Xenopus tropicalis: one gene and its partners. The protein of the gene in region 2 interacts with the protein of the main gene of each other region in a pairwise test. Links are inferred from orthologs where the notes say so. Each region holds a gene or a part of one and is shown on either strand. Other genes may lie near its edges.

What was found. The genes of interacting proteins can lie anywhere in the genome.
Region 1: the proteins of tk1 (region 2) and unc119 interact in a two-hybrid assay, tested with the Homo sapiens proteins (2 studies listed by BioGRID and IntAct). The link is inferred for Xenopus tropicalis from reciprocal best matches to the Homo sapiens genes TK1 and UNC119.
Region 3: the proteins of tk1 (region 2) and crmp1 interact in a two-hybrid assay, tested with the Homo sapiens proteins (2 studies listed by BioGRID and IntAct). The link is inferred for Xenopus tropicalis from reciprocal best matches to the Homo sapiens genes TK1 and CRMP1.

Annotation. Positions count from the first base shown.
Region 1 is NC_030678.2:34,704,477-34,710,766, reverse strand, and holds part of unc119 (protein unc-119 homolog A), read right to left. Parts: intron 5,775-6,290; coding exon 5,661-5,774; intron 3,317-5,660; coding exon 3,214-3,316; intron 2,230-3,213; coding exon 2,057-2,229; intron 1,443-2,056; coding exon 1,330-1,442; 3' UTR 1-1,329. UniProt on the Homo sapiens protein: Involved in synaptic functions in photoreceptor cells, the signal transduction in immune cells as a Src family kinase activator, endosome recycling, the uptake of bacteria and endocytosis, protein trafficking in sensory neurons and as lipid-binding chaperone with specificity for a diverse subset of myristoylated proteins.
Region 2 is NC_030686.2:26,184,133-26,191,068, reverse strand, and holds the start of tk1 (thymidine kinase, cytosolic), read right to left. Parts: upstream 3,937-6,936; 5' UTR 3,919-3,936; coding exon 3,853-3,918; intron 1,764-3,852; coding exon 1,732-1,763; intron 1,344-1,731; coding exon 1,230-1,343; intron 666-1,229; coding exon 572-665; intron 489-571; coding exon 399-488; intron 306-398; coding exon 186-305; intron 1-185. UniProt on the Homo sapiens protein: Cell-cycle-regulated enzyme of importance in nucleotide metabolism. Catalyzes the first enzymatic step in the salvage pathway converting thymidine into thymidine monophosphate.
Region 3 is NC_030677.2:25,659,995-25,666,121, reverse strand, and holds the end of crmp1 (dihydropyrimidinase-related protein 1), read right to left. Parts: intron 5,570-6,127; coding exon 5,428-5,569; intron 5,149-5,427; coding exon 4,978-5,148; intron 4,747-4,977; coding exon 4,567-4,746; intron 3,389-4,566; coding exon 3,223-3,388; intron 3,027-3,222; coding exon 2,935-3,026; 3' UTR 2,073-2,934; downstream 1-2,072.

The DNA.
Region 1 (6,290 bases), on a different chromosome or scaffold from region 2:
CACCAAGAGCACAGCTGCAGCATTTTGGAAGCTCATTACAAAAATGTCAGAGAAGATACTAATGGCTGGACTTGATCATATTTACTGGAAATCTGTATAGCTGTTCCAATGCATCTGGAGATCTTCTCCTCTTCCCAATATAGGTGCCACAGCATTTTTTCTTTTTAAAAATAAATTGTGTAGTTATCATCATCATCAAGAAGAGGAAGAAGAAACGAAAAAGACCTCCAAAATTGAAGCTATTCACAATCTTCATGATATTGTATTATACATGGAATTATTGCTCAACTGACTGGAATTCTAAATGTGCATTTACTGCAATCAAAAAAAGAAAAAAAAAATACTTGCCTCTGTGAGCTTGTTCCCCAGGAGGAGGACCGGACCATTTGAAATAAATATGCAGCGCTTCTTGGTGATATTTAAATTAAAGACAAAAAAAAATAAAGGAAAAAAACAAACAATTGCTCACAGGTTGTTACTGATTGTACTCCGTTCTAGTCTCCATGATGGATTACATTGCTAATATTGTTATTTCTGCACAATACAGTGTAACCGTAAACAAAACTTATTTCAAATATATCAGATCAGGTTTTACCTTGGATGGGCCTCATTGCTTCAGACTCATAGGTAACTAGGCTGGACTCAATAATAATGTAATTTGCAATCATGGATGGAACACTTAATCCTTAACGATCTATGCACAATTTTGTGTTTGTTTTTTGTGTAATAGCCATCTCATTAGAAATGAATGGGAAAATGTCAAACAATACTTAATGCCTAGAGAATAACAAGAATCCTAACAAGTGCAAGCCCAAAGAGGAAGAACTGATTAAATCTTTGGCTTGGATTTCCTTGATAACAATGTTTTTTTCCCAAGCTGACATTTAGTAAAAAAAGAAACTACTGAATGATTTTTTTGTCCTTTCTTCTCTTAGATAGAGGCAAGAATATTGATGAAGAACTCACAAGCCTGTCATATGAGAAAGGTTGGTCCTAAGAAGACTTAGATAAGATGCAAGAGTCCTTGTTCCAGGAGAACAACCCTTTATATGGAGCAAGAGAGAAGTATTTATTTAGGTTTATCCTTATCCCACATTCATGTTGGGAAGGGCTGATGAAGTCCACTGCCTCAGATTTTGCAGTTTGACGATTCTTGCACTATCTGAATGTGCTACAAAGACTGGGGTACAGCCAAAAATCTCCTACTTGCAAACAGTATATTGTTTCCTGGATTGTTTGCCTACGGAAAGTGGGTGTTATCCCTTACGTAACTGCTATGGGGAAAGGGGACTGCTGTTGATGCTTTCTCGCTCGTGCTATTTTTGGGGATCACGGACCTCCGCTATATGAATAATCTGCCTTGTTGTGCATCACAAGTTTGTTGTCCACAAAGTAGAAACTGTCCGATTGTGTCTCATATGGGTGCAGAATCATTTCGCGAACTGCAAAATAGAATGAGAAAAAAAAGGGGAAACAAGATTTTTATTTTGCAATATTTATTAAACATCAATCTCAAACAAAATGGACCTTCCATTGCCAGAATGTTACAGAATATTATGAGTACAGATTTATTTGGCAAAAATGTACTTTAAGCCATCTAATTCTTTATCTTACAGTCTCAGGGTAGAAGCTTGCACACAAATGGTGGATATGTCAGCCTTACATGCCAAGTTCTATTGCCTATTCACCCTAAAAGAATAACCAAACAGCTGGCAGGCATTTTCCCTCAATATTTATTCAGGCTTATGAAAATACAGTGAGAATGGAGTTCTCAGTTGACATCTTATGAAGGTTGGAAAATTACACAAATTCTGGCAATCTGTGGGTTCTGGCAAATGCCAGAGGGGCTGCTGTAAGATGCCATAGACAGTCACTATTTATTGGGCTGGTGGGGGGCTGTTTGGGCCTCTGTGTACTTGAAATGCCAGGGCCTATTTTGAAGTTGAAATCTGCACTGATTCACGGAGAATCAGACTGCATTTGTTATATGAAATAAAATATAACCACAGAGAGGAACAGATATATTTCTAAATACTTACGTAGAGAAATAACTTACTTAGATCCTCAGAGAGCTGTGGAAATTCATAGATATGTTCGCAAGTGTTTTTACTGCTGGGGATACAGAAGCCAAATTCAAAATCGAAGCTTTTTAATAGCTGCTCACGAAAATAATGCCGTTCAATCATGCGGAAGTTATTAATGGGCTTATCACCAACTGTGAATTCAACTCTGCAATAAAATATATACATACATAAATATAAAAGATACATGTTTGCTTCAGTAACGCAGACTTTGTGATCAGTCAGAGGCTGCTACACAAAAGGGCTCATTTATGTCAACAAGTGCAGTGAGTAAAGTGCAGTTTTGAGCCACAATGCAAATGTTCTTTTTCTAAAACCAGTGGATCTCGTAACACAGCATATAATACACAATGCAACTACATTCTTTTGTAATAATGGACACAACTGTGTCTGTTGCATAAGGGTTGCAACCGAGACAAGTATTTTCTAAGCCTGCCTGTCATCTGGTGTTCTCGGGCATCATTTCTGGTGTTTGCCATGACGTGTGTGCCCTATTCCTTTAGCACAACTGTGCTGTGGCAATTGACAGAGGGCACGAGGGGAACCCTGGAGCTACCTCCTGGTCCAGAGGTGGCAGTAGCTCCAGAGTACCCATGCGTTAGTAGGTGCTGCGGCACACGATTCCAAACAGAAGACAGAAAGGAGTGGTGCCCAGAGCAACTATAGGAAGGAGCAAGTACATTTAATGACAGAGTTGTTATGCAATGCTCTCACTATACTTATACCCCTGCCTGGCCCAGGACCAGTTGAAGTAAAATACTCGTTGGTGCCTCCAACCTCATGTGGCCCAGGCAGACTTTCACATTAAGCACAATATGAGTCTGTTGTATGTAACACTATTTTCATAGCTAGTGCCATTATGGAGAATGAAATATATTATCCATAAAAGTTGAACTCTAATTTACATGCAAACCATTGCATAAATGTTCCATTTTTATTTATTCTCTCCTCATACTTAGATTAATATACTGATTTTCATGTGCAGAACTGCATGTTCTTAGTTAAGCCATAAAGGAAATGAAAACAACTATCGCACATAGTTTGTATTTACATTACCTGAACCTACTTGCAAATTCTCTCATAGCAGAAGAGCAAGCATTTGCTTATAAGAGTGATCTTTCTAGGCACTTACGTTGCTCCTACTTGGCGCAGTCGCAGGAAAGCTGGAGTGAACTGGTATCGGACAAATCTGCCAGCATTAGGATCAGCATCCTTTTTATCGCCGTGGTCACGTTCTAAAACATAAAATGTGCTATCTAATGAAATGCTATATAAGGGAATTTAGCTTGCCACAACATTGCAAGGATCCAAGGGGTTGGTAAGCAACATGTTGCCCACAAGCCACTGTTTGGGGATCACTGTTATAGAATGTCCTATACCTAGCAACTTTGCAACTGGTCTTCATTATTTATCTTTAATGGTTTTTGGGTTATTTGCCTTTCTCTACTACCTCTACCCAGCTTTCAATTGGGTGGTCACTGCAGGTAAAAAACTACTGCTCTGCAAAGCTACAATTTTATTACTTATCTTTCTATTCAATCACCTGTACTTATTCTAGTTTTATTCAAACCACTGCCTGGTTGCTAGGGAAAATAAGATCCTGGCAACCAGATGGCTGCTAAAATACCAAATTGCTAACCAAAAGCTAAATGACCAAAAAAAACTATAAAAAATGAAGACCAACTGCAAGTTGTCTCAGAATATCTAATCATTGTCTAAATCATAGTAAAAGTTAAAGGAACAGTAACACCAAAAAATGAAAGTGTATAAAAGTAACTAAAATATAATGTGCTGCTGCCCTGCACTGGTAAAAGTTGTGTGTTTACTTCAGAAAGTCTACTATAATTTATATAAATAAGCTGCTGTGTAGCCATGGAGGCAGCCATTCAAAGGAGAAAAGGCACAGGCACATAGCAGATAACAGATAAAACACTATTGTATTCTACAGAACTTATCTGTTATGTTACATAACATATCTGCTATGTAACCTGTGCCTTTTCTCCTTTTTTCCAGCTTGAATGGCTGCCCCCGGGGCTACACAGCAGCTTATTATATAAATTATAGTAGGGTTACTGTAGCAAACACACCAATTTTACCAGTGCAGGGCAACAGTGCATTATATTTTCATTACTTTAAAGCTCTTTCATTTTTTGGTGTTACTGTTCCTTTAAAATAAAGCTAAACAACCCCTTTAACACAGCTTTAGAAGCGCAGCTTTCTGGCGGGTTTGGTTAATCTGTAAAAGCAATCTGTGCCTGGTTATTTAACACCATCAGTATATCCCAACAGCAGGTTAAGGTGGCCTTACATGGGCAGATAAAAGCTGCTGACGGTCACGGAGTGGGCAGCTTATCAGCAGTGCCCGGGGCCTTCAGACAGGCCTGCCCAAACAATAAGCAGCCAGATGATGATCAGGGTGAGAAGTGCATATGCGCTTAGATTGGTCCACTTGTATAGAGTCCTCACCAAACGAGTGGACCTTTCTGCATATGACCAGCTTTAAGTTCCCAACAAACATCCAATGGTACATTCAGACAAAAGGAAAACAAATCCAGCCTGCTACTTAACAGACAAGGAATATGTGCATAAGTCCCTCTTGGAACGGTAATATACCCAAACCCATCAGTTAGCAATGATTGCTATGACTACAATGGAAAACTATTTCTGTAACAACCCTGTATCTTCTAATTCAAGGATTTATGACTCACTTCATTGCATTGCATAAAGTCCCAAATTAAGCCTATAGGTCAAGTGTTACAACAGTTACAATCCTGATCATTGTGAGTAGAACTCCCTTCTCAGCAGTGTGTCAGCCTGGAAATTCTGGGTGCCAGGCGGGTTGAAAATATTGGGTGCTCATTTATAAACACTGGGCAGCTGCAGGTTGAAAGCAAACATCTTATTTGCTGCCATGGGTTACTGCCCACTGCCAAATAAAATATCAAAATAATATATTATATATAATAATATAAAATACACATTTCTGAAAAGCTCTGATTCTAGTAAGGTGCTACATTTGTAGATTGTAAGCTCTTTTGGGCAGGGCTCTCTTCACCTCTTGTACTGGTTATTGATTGCTTTATATGTTACTCTGTATGTCCAATGTATGAAACCCACTTATTGTACAGCGCTGCGGAATATGTTGGCGCTTTATAAATAATTGTTAATAATAATAATAATAATAATAACTACCCAGCTGTGATCACTTCTTCTTTTCAGAATGGGATATTTTCCATGGAGCCAGTCCGGTTTGAAAATAGCATACTATAGCAGTAGCAGCATTGTAATGAAATTTTATTGTTTGGTTTAAATGGCATTAAACGGCACTGCGTGACTAGACACAACCATTTTTACGATCATAATGGATTTAGCTTTACATGAAATACATGACACGCAGTATAATAATCTGATAAAGCACTTCCTGGGTGGGGAGTGTTATTGCCACAGGCTTCCTCCCAAGGCTGAGCAAACAAATACATTTACAATACAAGTGTATATTCACATTTGTGTAAGGGTTCCCCATGTCTGTGTGTTGGGAGATTCTATCCCTTGCTAGAATCAGCATAATTCTGTACATACCTGATGCTGGTGGCTTGGTAATTTCAAACAACACCGTTCCAGACTCCATGTCACGAATTTTAAATCTGGTAAAGTCTATTTTGTAAACGTTTTCTTCAGGGGTACACAGGTAATCTGGATGGGAGTAAAAAATAGCTTCAATCAATAAAACGGTAAGACAGGAAAAAAATATAGGGTTCCTGAAACAGGAGACTGCAGCTAAATTCTGATATAAAACATTATTATGAAAATATATCCCCGTAAATAGTGTTCGGGACTGTTATCAGTTATAATCAGTGCTTAGTGATGTCCTTTGTGTCACATGACTCATTGAAACACGTGGATTAAAAATAATGAACCCTTTGTTCCATTACTTCTATTCCTCCCTGTACATTGCACCGGCTGCTTCCTTTTAATGATTGCATTCCGCCTTCATTTGGTGTCTGTAAAGGTGGCCATACAAGGGCAGATTTAAGATACCAATTTGTTAGTTGGCAGCTTATCTGCCAGAGTATGGGGCCCTCCCACAGTCCTACTTGACCAATATCTGGCTGAAAATCGGGCAGGTGTTGATTTGATTTTCCTGTCTGACCACATTGGCTTGTTCACGCGAGCCAACAGCTTTTATTCCCATTGTGGTGATCTGATCTT
Region 2 (6,936 bases):
ACCTGTATTTAAAGTACAATAACATAACAGAAATAATGCAATTTATTGGATTTACCTGTGAAGCAAAATATTTGCAATAATTTTGCTATCTGTCTATAGAAAACGTAGCTGGCATTTTTTGATGCACAAATAGCTCACATGCAGACAAGGACATAAATAATACCTCCAGAAGACTATTTACATACCTCCTTTTCTGCCCCTAGCCGCTTGGTGTATGCAGCCTCCCGATAACACTCCATGCAAACAGAGTTGAGTTTTACAACACTTTCTGCCAAAGGCACCAAATTCAAGATGTTTCCAAATGCCTAAAAATGTGCACAAAAAGGTGGTAAGGGCCACTTAAAACCCATGTAAAAAGCACAACACATTGCATTCTTATACTTGTAACTACAACTAACCTTCCTCTGAAATGTGCCATCCAGAGCTGCTACAATCATAGTCTTTCCACGATTTGCCATTTCCTCACAAAAATCTACAATGTCAGGGAACTGAATGAGAACAGAAGTTTTATTATCGGTCATCAGAAGTCAGGTGAAGAACGAACTTTAAAGTTAAATCAGGAAATACTCACAAACTGTCCTTCATCTATTCCTATAACAGAACAGGCCAAAGCTTCAGCGGAAACATCACGCAACTGGCAGGCAGATACAGCTGCCATTGTGTTCCTGCAAGGACAAACAAGCATTAACATCTCAATCTCTATACTTAACAGTTGCTTTAAAAAGGATGGGCACAGCAATGTAAAAATACTCTACATGGTTTGGAACAAAGAAGCACTGAAGTCCTCTGTAAAAGTAGTACAGTTATGGAATGCATTAGCTGGAAACCCTTTCTCCAAAAAGCTTTAAATTAGGGGAAGGCCATCTTCCATCGACTCCATTTTAATCAATAAAACAGTACCGTCTACTTTTGTTAATTTGTATTTAGATGATTTTGTGGGGTAAATTAATTTTGCTCCACTTTAACTCATATTTTAAGGTAACTACACTTCTGTGAATTCCCAAAAAGTGTTATTTGCCAAAAACATATAAACCATACTCTACACCATGAAGGTCCTGGCAATTATAGCCCATAACAATTGTTACCATGTTACCCAGTGCAGTCCTATATGATTTTTGGGCATGCTTTTTAAAATCAGTAAATACAAATGTACCACAACCAATGATATGCGATATTTCTATATGTAGATAAGATGAGCTTAACAATACAGAATGTGTAAAATTGCTTACTGGTCATGTGTAGCAAGATGCTCTTTGCTGTAGCGTGTATCTTTCGCATACTTTATAAGCATGCACTTGTACTGTGCAATCTGAAACCGTCGCACTCTGCGCATCAGCTCTGTGCTGTAAAATATACAGAAAATTTGTTCAGCAGAATAGGAAAATAAGCAGTCTCATGCGATGACATACAGCAGTTAAAGGACAATAAACATACTTTTTTAAAAAGGCTTACTATAATACATACTGCAGCACTCTAAAAATGGATGCAATGTGAGCAAATACCAAACAGCACCACCATCCATTCAAAAAAAAAAAAAAAAAAAAAAAAAAAAAAGAAGAATTGTCCCAACGCAGACCAAGACTGATTCCCCTACTGCCCTCCTTCCAAAGCACTTTAGCCCATTGGAAGTAGCGTGCCCCATTGCCATAGCAACACACTGTTCTCAATAAGGAACATCTAGATTACAGCTCATGAGAGAGAATATAGAATTGCGCGGTCCTTTGAACTCACCTTTTTCCAGAAAACATTGGCCCAAATATCACCTAAAAGTAAAAACAAATGGGTTTGAAATACAAATTAACACACAAACCAACTATAGCAGTCATGGTATATACACTTTCATTTGATGGACATGTATACTTTTTAACATCTTTTATCATTAACCATGTAGCTAATTTGAGCATTTTGTGTTCTTTGGGGCATTTTGTCTTTTAGTTTACATATTGAAACTGCCCATTGCTTTGTTAGGACAACCTTAACATTCTCAGAGTCTTTGTGCAACTCCACTTCTGTAACATGATAAAAATAATTTCTATACAATACAGAAGTATATATCAGAAGCATTTTATATTTCACTGATCTGGAAGGCCCCATGTCTCCCGAATGAGCCAATACCAGAATTCTGACTTGTACAGGTCATAAATTCCAAACATAAGCAGGTTTTCAAAGCAGTGCAGCAGAAATCAGCATACAATTGCATGGCCAAATAATTTCCAGTGGTAGCAATGCTTTGCTAAAGTGGATTTCTAATAAATTTTAGTAAAAACTAACTCAAACCTCTCTGTATTTTATCTTCAAAATGTGATAAAGGTACCATTGTATGGCACTATAAATAGGACGGGTCTTCTGGCCCTGTATCCATACAAAGGTTCGCCAAAGACCGTGAAATGTAAAGGCCCCAAAATGAAAATAATAAATAAAATAGTCATGGCAGTCTCTTCAACTACTTCAAAATTAGCACACAGACCAGATTTTTACAATACTGCTTGTTTCCTAGGGGCTGGAGAACAAAGGAGCAGCATAAACGCCGCTCTCCTCCCCACCTGTGAGTGCGGCAGAATGTAGAATCTATGTTGTGGAATGTAGAACCTTTTATCTACAGAATGTGTATTCAGTCAAACCTTTGTTCAAAACACAATTCTGCATTCCATCCTTTGCCAGCATTAGTATTCTATTTATAGATAAACTCTGTAAGAATGCATATGATATATACCCAATCCCAACTACTACAACAGTGATCCCCAACCAGTGACTCCTGAGCAACATGTCACTCCCCACCCCCTTGGATGTTGCTCCCAGTGGTCTCAAAGCAGGTGCTCATTTTTGAATGTCTGGCTTGGAGGCAAGTTTTGGAATCACAGAGACACAGTTTTACTTCAAGCAGAGCCTCCTGCAGGCTAGCAGCCCACATGGGGCTATCGAATAGCCAATCACAGCCCTTATTTGGCAACCCCAAAAACCTTTTTCATGCCTGTGTGGCCCACCAACACTTTTTACAGCAGAGTGTGGCTCACAAGCAAAAAAAGGTTGGGGATCCCTGTACTAAGACACTGGGAATAGTCTTTGCCAACACTTTATGGGGCTCACATACAAAAGAAAGTGAATTCATTGTGTGCCATAAACCCCCCTAGAAAATAACCCTGAATATCAGGCTCAGACTGCCAATCTGCAGATTTTGGTACATGCCACAAACAGTCACTATTTCTGGAGCCTGTCCCTGGCTGTTTAGGCCTCTGTGTGCTTGAAATAGCAGGTTCTGTTTTGAATCCCAGCCCCTATGATGCCATATGTGCCACTACCCTAAAAACCAGAATTCTTAGCAGTCTTTCCACTTACTGCTAGAATTATTTGGCACACACCATAAGCTTCAAGGGCAGGGATATATTTTGTTTTGTTCTTTCCAGGCACCAGAGTGCAACCCCTAAGGCTGCCACATTTGGTACATGCCCTTGGGTACTTATATAAAAATGATAACCCCACTAATAAGGAACAAAGTCCCTGCCCTGTACAGTTGCACTTAAATATATACTTAACCCAAATGTAAGTCTATATACAAGATGTATGTCTGGGAGCTGCATGATGCAGTGTGTTGTGCCTCACAGCCCTTGGTGTATAATACTGAGGGCAAATATAATCTATACATGCACCTGAGCCCACTATTAATACACGTTCCCTTTAGGGGGCCTCTCATAAAGATGTGTTAGGCTAGATACAACACAAAAACTCCCTTGCAGCTGTCATATAACAAGAGTGCTCAGCCAGTTTCTCCTAGAACTACAAATCACTTCACTTCATGACAAGTCATCTGGAGAGTAAACTGCATGGCTAAATGTAATGCTGTGCCCGGCTTACCTGGATCTGGCCCCGGGATTTGCTGGGCGAGCCTGGCATGATTTCGGGTACGTTGAGGCAATTCATATCGGTACCAGGCGAGAGCAGAGCGCGGGAATGACTGTGTCCGGTACAGTCACTTCTTTCAATACAACGTCTGTGCATTCTCCCGCGCAGCTCTGTCCAATCACAGGCGGCGATGGTGTACGCTAGCCAATGGGATTCTACAGCCCCCGCTGTTATGAAGATGAGGAAGGAGGGGATTCAGCTTTCACTGGTTGGCCTGGTGTTTGGCAAACGAGTTGGAGGTGGCGGGAAAAGAAAATTAAATAAACATGAATTTGTAACTAGTGGGACCCTGTAATGTAAATGTTCTTTTCCAGTTAGCGAGGGAGTATGCAAGGGTCAGTTGCATATAATATGAAGGAAAGCTTGCGGAACGCTTCAATGAAATCTACCGCTGATACCGCAGCGAAATCCTGTTGTGGGTTGTGGCACTTGTTAGAACGATGGCTGACGCGTTTTGGCACTAGTATTACGCTTAGCCTGTATGTTTAAAGAAGTGCTTCACAATTTTAATAAAATCACCCCCCCCAACTCTGTCCCTTTTGCCAAAGTAAGAATTTTTGCAATAGAAGAAAATACATTTTTAAAAAAAAAAAAAATTGTGCCAATAGCAGATATTTATTTTCAGAGAGAGCTTTCCCAGCTAATAGGGGCTCCATGCCCCGCTAATAGGGGCTCCATGCCCCGCTAATAGGGGCTCCATGCCCAGCTAATAGGGGCTCCATGCCCCGCTAATAGGGGCTCCATGCCTAGCTAATAGGGGCTCCATGCCTAGCTAATAGGGGCTCCATGCCCCGCTAATAGGGGCTCCATGCCCAGCTAATAGGGGCTCCATGCCCCGCTAATAGGGGCTCCATGCCCCGCTAATAGGGGCTCCATGCCCAGCTAATAGGGGCTCCATGCCCAGCTAATAGGGGCTCCATGCCCAGCTAATACGAGCTCCATGCCCAGCTAATAGGGGCTCCATGCCCAGCTAATAGGGGCTCCATGCCCAGCTAATAGGGGCTCCATGCCCCGCTAATAGGGGCTCCATGCCCCGCTAATAGGGGCTCCATGCCCAGCTAATAGGGGCTCCATGCCCCGCTGAAGGTCTCTGACTTTCTCCTTTGTCATATTACCTGCTATTACTGCTACTGCCCAGTTTCTCACTACTTTGTTTGTATAGTATTAATCAGATTGTCAGGAAGTATAATATCATACCTCCCAACATTTGAAAAATGAAAAGAGGGACAAAAAGATTTGGCACGCGCAGCACGGCAATTTTTGACCACGCCCCCTTTTGTGGCCACGCCCCAATTACCACATCCCATTTTTAAAAAAATAACCCCTTTTATATAGATCAAATGGCGGGCGCAGACGAAAATGTGCTATACCCTCATACTGAACGACCTAAGGAAAACAATATAGCAACTCCTACATTAAAATACAAGTATAGAGAGAAGGCAGTCAGTTATAAGTGAGTTATAACTAAGTACCAGTTTTGCCCCCCCATACACAGTACCCCCATACACAGTAGCCCCCCATACACAGTAGCCCCCCCATACACAGTAGCCCCCCATACACAGTACCCCCCAATACACTGTACCCCCCAATACACTGTACCCCCCAATACACAGTAGTCTCCCATACACAGTGCCCCCATACATTGCCCCCTATACAGAGTAGCCCCCTATACACAGTAGCCCCCTATACACAGTAGCCCCCAATACACAGTAGCCCCCAATAAACAGTGCCCCTATAAACAGTAGCCCCTAATACACAGTACCCCCCAATACACAGTGTCCCCCTATCACAGTAGCCCCCCATTCACAGTACCTCCCATAGGCGCAGCCTTCGTCTGCGGCTTCGTTATGCCTCTCCTTGTGCAGCGCGACAGGCCCTTTTATAAGGTTGTGCCCGTGCGTAATGACGTCACACCCACAGGCGCAACCTTATAAAAGGGCCTGTCGCGCTGCACAAGGAGAGGCATAACGAAGCCGCAGAAGAAGCAAGAACATCCGGCTACAGCAAGCGCATCCCGCTGTGCCGGATAGTTCCATGTCCCGCAAAGGCACCATCGGTTCAGGGACTACATAAACGAGCCGATGCAGTCCCGATACAACAGAAAAAATTAAACCTGCTCGATCAAGATCTGGCTGATTTCAGGCCAGATATCGGTCGGGCAGGCCCATCGTTCGTGCCCATACACAGGCAGATGAGCTGGTGAATTGGTCTAAAGGAACGATATTGGCAGCTAGAAACGGCCGTATATGGCCACCTTTTTTTTTAATATTTTTATTTTTAAAATATTTTTCAACATATATATAAATTGCAAATTATATGTAACAGTGTCATCAATGGTTACATCTTGTAAAGAACATTTTAGCCGTAACATATGTTTTCTGCTTTTGTCAGTGCATATATTGTCTATTGGGGCGCAGCCCCTTATACATATATTTCCGGTTCCAACAAAGTTATCCCATTTATTAACAATGAAATCTGTAACTCACTTATCCGTAGTGAATAGTCCTTTTTTATGATAATATAAAGCTGTGACATTCTGTTACTCGTGTATACAGGGCCGCCATCAGAAATCACGGGGCCCCTCACAAAAATTTTTTTCTGGGCCCCCCTCCCACAAATACAAAGGACTCACAGACATGAGACATTGGTAGCCAGCAGGGCCCCCCCTAGTACATTGGTAGCCAGCAGTGCCCCCCCTAGTACATTGGTAGCCAGCAGCCCCCCCCTAGTACATTGGTAGCCAGCAGTGCCCCCCCTAGTACATTGGTAGCCAGCAGCCCCCCCCCTAGTACATTGGTAGCCAGCAGGGCCCCCCTTGGAAAATTGGTAGCCAGCAGTGCCCCCCCCCCAGTACATTGGTAGCCAGCAGGGCCCCCCTAGTAAATTGGTAGCCAGCAAACCCCCCCTAGTACATTGGTAGCCAGCAAACCCCCCTAGTACATTGGTAGCCAGCAAACCCCCCTAGTACATTGGTAGCCAGCAAACCCCCCTAATACATTGGTAGCCAGCAAACCCCCCTAGTACATTGGTAGCCAG
Region 3 (6,127 bases), on a different chromosome or scaffold from region 2:
ATATTGCATAAATCTGTATTTTGTATCTGTCTGTACATATGTATGTATTGTAGCTTGAGCTTCATGGTTTTCATTTGCAACCAAAGTCTGATAAAGGCTAGAAATGATGCACCGTACCTGTAGGGCTTATATTACCAGCTCAGAGGTACAGGGAAAATCTGTTCCTCTGAAGCATCCATTGCAGCCTTCTCCCAAATGTCAGTGGCACTGCACATGCTCAGTGTGCTCTGAGCTACTATATCTGATTTACTAGACCTGCTCCCAACACACTTTGCATGCCCAGTGATGCCCCTTCCATGGGGCCACACAAAGAGACTTTCTTCATCTTAAGGGTTCCCCTGATGAAAGCAATTCTGCCAATTGGCAGCCAATAAAAGGCCATCCCCCTTAATTGTAACTAATGTGCCTTGCTTTCACCATGATACCAAATTGCTCAGGGTTTGTTTTCCTGTGACATTTCAAGCCAGAAACTGTATCATTTACTTGAGAAGGAAGGGATTTACCAATACAAGTGCTGTTATATCCTGTATCATGTAAAGATGATGAAATATAATACTTTTTAATGTATTATGTACACTATAGGCCTTACTGGTCTGTATATTTTATTTATATTATATTCCAGTAAAATCATCAGTTATTTGTGTGTGTGATTGCATCTTTTTCCCCTTACTTGCCAATGAAACAGCCAGTGGTGTGTGCAGTATTGTGTTTCTTTGGGCCACTGTATTTTCTGCTGAATTCTGTGCAGTACAAGGGGAAACCTAATAACCGTTTCTGGTATATTTGCTCAATCTATGAAAAACTTTGTTATCCCTCTATAGAGAATTCCATCTACAGCCATGTTCAAGGCAAGATTACATTCAGCAACGTAGTAAGGAAATGAATCGGGTTGTTATCATTTCAGTTAAGTTTTAGTATGTTATGGAATGGCCTATTCTTAGCAACTTTTTACTTGGTCTTCTTTTTATATTTTTTTTTTTTACTATTGAACTATTTGTCTTCTTCTACCTCTTTCCAACTGTCAGATGGAGGTCACTTACCCCAGCAGCCAAAAACTATTGCTCTGTGAAGCTACAATGTTGTCACTTTGTATATTCATCTTCCAATCACTTGTTTAAACCACTGCCTGGTTGTTAGGGTAAACTGGACCCTAGCAACCAGATCGCTGCTGAAATTCCTAGAGGGCGGCTGAACAAAAAGCTAAACAATTAAAATAAAAAAATACAAACCAATTGGAAATCAGAATGATGTTCTATGTTATACTAAGTAAATGTTAAGTACAAGGTGAACAACCTCTCTATGCAAGGGAGACCTTTATGGTGAGAAGCTGACCTTCAGATTGATCTAGAGGTGACTTTGGGAAGACAAAGGTGTTTGTAGGAACCCAAAAGGAGAAACAGCATATGGGACTAACTTGTCCTGAATATCATCATGGGATTGGGGCTACATAGAGATGCAGGAGAGGGCCAGGAATACATATTGCCAGAAGAAGAACTGAGGAACCAGATAAGATGTCGGTTCGGGGACCACATCAACTAGCCAATGCGGTCCCCGATCCAACTTGATTTTTTAACCTGCCCGATCGAGATCTGGCTGATTTCAGGCCAGATATCGGTCGGGCAGGCCTGTCTGTAGTGCCCATACATGGGCCCATTAGCTGCCGAAACGGTCTAAGAGACCAATATCGGCAGCTAGAATTGGCCCGTGTATGGGCACCTTAAGTAAACCTTTACTTATCCTTTAGTGTTTAACTTATTGCCTGAATGCATTTACATATAATAAGGGCTCATTTACAAAGTGAAAATGATTGGTGGCTCAAAGTAGCATGGGCCACATCATTATTTGCGCAAGGTTGGGGCAGTGTCTTTATTATGCCAATGTGGGTATGAGTTCTAGTGCAGGGATGTATGCAGTGCTGGAAACGATGATAATGTTCTGCATCTTGGAGGCTAATTAGTTACATGTTTGGGCCTTTGTGTACATAAAATGCCACTCGGGGCCTATATTGAATCCCAGTCCAGGCCTGCTAATATTTAGCCCAGATTAACCTGATAGAAGACAAGAGCCCAAGCAACTTATTCTGTGTTCTTTATTTCACAAGCGTTGAAGTCATTCATCGAGTCACATCTAGAACTTCATACGGAACCGTAAGTAAAAATGCATGTGAATACAAAGGAAAACTTTGTACAAAAAAACGTAAAAATCAGATAGCTAACCATACCGACCGTATCAAAACACTGCGCGCGCAAGGCTGGTCGCTTGCGCGGCCAAAATAAGTGTATGTGTCTGTTATTGGAAATGGTTTACAATGATGAGAATACACTAAGCTGTACAATGAGATCACATGAAGGCTGCTGTGAGCTGTGGGGTTGTACAAAAGGCTAACGGAAATGAAACATTTAGCATTCTACATTATACATAAAATTGTTCACATTTCTTAGTTATCGCTGGCAATCTTGGTCTTGGCATTATGTCTAGGACAGCTTGTTGGCATCAATGGAAACTCAACCACTGACCTACGGAGGGTAAATGAATAACAGAAGGCCATGCACTGCTCACCCAAAGACATCTAAATGGTGCAAATGGACTATCGTATGGCACAAAGACAAAGCGGAAGCCTCTACTCTACAACAGCAATGGGTATTTCCATGCTTTCACCAGTCAAGGGCGTCAGAGGGGTCGCCGACCCATTTCGGTGAAATGTGTTGGAGACTGAACTGATGCCCAAGGGGATGGGATGACTATGCACAAGTGTAAGGGTGGGGGTGGGAAAGAGAAAATAGTTCCAAGCATTTAACCACACAATGACCATCCCTTTCTATACAAAACAGACCATGTTCAGTAGTACCAAAAATGTGTGGGCTCAATAACACTGACACAGATAGGAACATTGTTCCAGCGGTGAGATTCTTTCATTTTCTTGATGCAGATCCATCAACCAAGGCTTGTGATGTTTGAGCGGCCACCAGGTGGATTAACGATGCGATGCCCTGTGCGGCGAGGGTTAGTGTCGTCTTTTTGTGCACCTACAATGTAGGGTCATTCATTTAAATGTTTGAAGACACAGGATGAGTTAGACACAAATACAATCTTTGATGACCAGCAACCCTTCTCATTGGCCTTCTGTTTATCCGATGACCCCTCCATTTCTAACGGACTGATGTTTGGGTATGTAATTATCAGCTGAGCACACAACAAAAAGGACTCATATTATCCACATACCTGATAAACTAAAGTTGGACTGGTGAAGGTTCCTGACTGGAGGAGGCTGAGGTTTGGAAGGTGAGGATTTAGCCGATGGGGCTGGAGTTGCATACTTGGGAGGGGCTGGAACTTCATATACAGGCCCATCATACATTCCACGTGACACAGGTTCTAATCCTGCCACCTAGAAAAACATTTCTTCTGATAAATGGGCAAATTCATTCAATATCCTCTTAATAAGGAGGGGATAAATAATATAAAACACATTTAGACTATATCAAAACAGCATGTTTTAGGTACAGCCTTCATAGAAACAAGTTTTATGCACCGTATATTGATTATACCACTAAAGTAATTCGTTTTTGCTTGACGGGAACATCTTCATGAATAGGCAGAGGCTCAAATTTCCTATGAAAAAGTTGGTCATAGATTGGCACAGGTTGCCTGCCAACTTGGCCACTCTTGAACCATGTATTTGGCCACCCTAACTACAATCTGGTTGGGTTTAGCCAGATTTGAATTAGGCTATCCAATATATTCATTCAAGAGAGGACCACCTTGCTTTCACCCAAAGGGTTTGCACATGGCTATTATGTGAATGACCCCCTGAACCCTGGTCCAGCTTGCCTGCCAACTTGGCCACTCTTGACTGTATATTTGACCACCCCAACTACAATCTAGTTTTAGCCAGATATGAATTATGCTACCTGATATATCCATTCAGGTAATGACCACGTAGCCTTTAACCAAAGAGTTTGCACATGGTCCTAATCTGCCCCCCCCGTACAGCTGGCCATAAGGTTGGTTACCTTATCATTTATGAGCAGCTTTACGGTGGTCATTAATTTAAACTAGGCAAATATGCCCCAGCAATCCATAGCAACCAATCGGAGAATAGTTTTTATTAAGTGCAGTAGTTAATAGCTCTTTAGTTGCCATGGGTTTCTGAACTGCAGCAAATTTACCCAATGCTAATAAAAAGCCCCTCAAGCAAATCAGTGACAGAACAAAGTAGTGGAATTTCCTAGCCAACTCCTATAGCCTGTATAGTGAGTGTCTGTATGGGTTTTCTACGGGTACTTTGCTTTCCTTCCAACTACCATACAGGCAGGTTAATTAGTTCCCGATTAAATTGACCCTAGAATGTGATAGGGACCTTAGATTGTAAGCTGCACTGAGGCACTGAGTGCATGTGCCTTATATTGCTTTTATATTTGTCAAACCAATGACATGGCCCATTCATTATTAAGCCAGTTATCCAATAGACAACAATTCACCTGTATAATACATATATACATTGCATACAGAGCCAAAGCCCTTTCATCTTTCACACCAGTTTGGGACTGTATATAAAGAACGAACCTTGTTCCTGATTTTGATGCGCTGGTAAATGTATTCCGGGAATGGTTTCCGAGGGATGAAGCGCCCCATGCCCTGGTTAACGTGCAGGTTTCCATCTTCATAGACAATCTTTCCTTGGCTAATAACCATCAGCGGAGCCCCACGACACTCCATACCTTCAAAGATGTTGTATTCTACTGCCTGAGAGTCACAAATAAGATATTTTATGAACATCTAACCTGTACAGACATATCCAGGTCACTATTGGTCAATGAATGTCTTCTACGAGCAAAAGGTCTACATGGGCCACTGGCCAAAGCTTTACGTGTCTGCCAACCTGACCAACGTGTATGGGCCGGGCACCATGTTGTTTTTCCTTCATGCAGCTCTATGTGTAGGAACCCTAATCTGAATAAAGGTTTATTCACTTACAGATTTGTGAGTCTTTGCAGAGACTGCCTTAATCTTGTCCGGATCCCAAATAACCACATCAGCATCAGAACCAACTGCGATTCGGCCTTTTCTTGGGTACAGGTTAAATATTTTGGCAGCATTTGTACTAGTGACCGCAACAAACTGGTTCTCATCCATCTTACCGGTAGCCTAAAAAAATTAAAGATATAATAGGTGTTTCCAATGAAAGTGGATAACTGATAACTAGGTAGTTGTGCTGACATGGCTGGTAACCCCTCAAAACAAAGAAATGTAAAATTGCTGACAGTGCTCTTATTAATTTTGCGAAGTATTTTTTTTTTTTTTTATAATCTACACCTTACTTCCCCTTGTTTGTTTTCCAAGCCTATAGAAATGGAAGAAGTTTATTTTATAGGGACTTTACATAGGAGGGAGGATCTGATGAACTACCTTCAGCCTGACACTTACCACAGCTTTGTCCCACACAATAGACATCCGTTCCTCGATTCCATTGACTCCTTCTGGAATCAGAGTAAAATTATCCTTTCCTATAGCTTTTTGGGCGGTGCTGTAAGAGCAGTGTCCGCTGCCCGTAACCTGCAGGTCCCCACTGTGCGGAAAAATATTGAATACTGTTAAACACATGCAGATATATATATATATACTGTCTTTGAGAAAGGCTGCAGTGGTAGCCGAAACGTTAGACACAACTTTTGAATAAATCTTTTTGTACTTTTATAAGTCCTGTGAGTGCGGTACTCTGTTTTTTGGACTGCACCCAGGCATCTTTGATTTTTGTTTGTCGAGAGTGCCTGTCATTATATTCTGTAATTATATATAGTGATGAGTCAGTTTAGAAAAAGAGGGTTGTCATAAAAGCTGATGCTGCAGGGCTGATTATTACATTCTGATGTTAACTGCACTGGTTTCGGAGCTGCCCTGTAATGTAAATCTAAATGAATATACAGGTATATGACCCGTTATCCAGAATTCTCGGGACCAAGGGTATTCCGGATAAGGGATCTTTCCATCATTTGGATCTCCATACCTTAAGTCTACTAAAAAATCAATAAAACATTAATTAAACCCAATAGGATTGTTTTGCACCCAATAAGGATTATTTATATCTTAGTTGGGATCAAGTACAGGTACTGTTTTATTATTACAG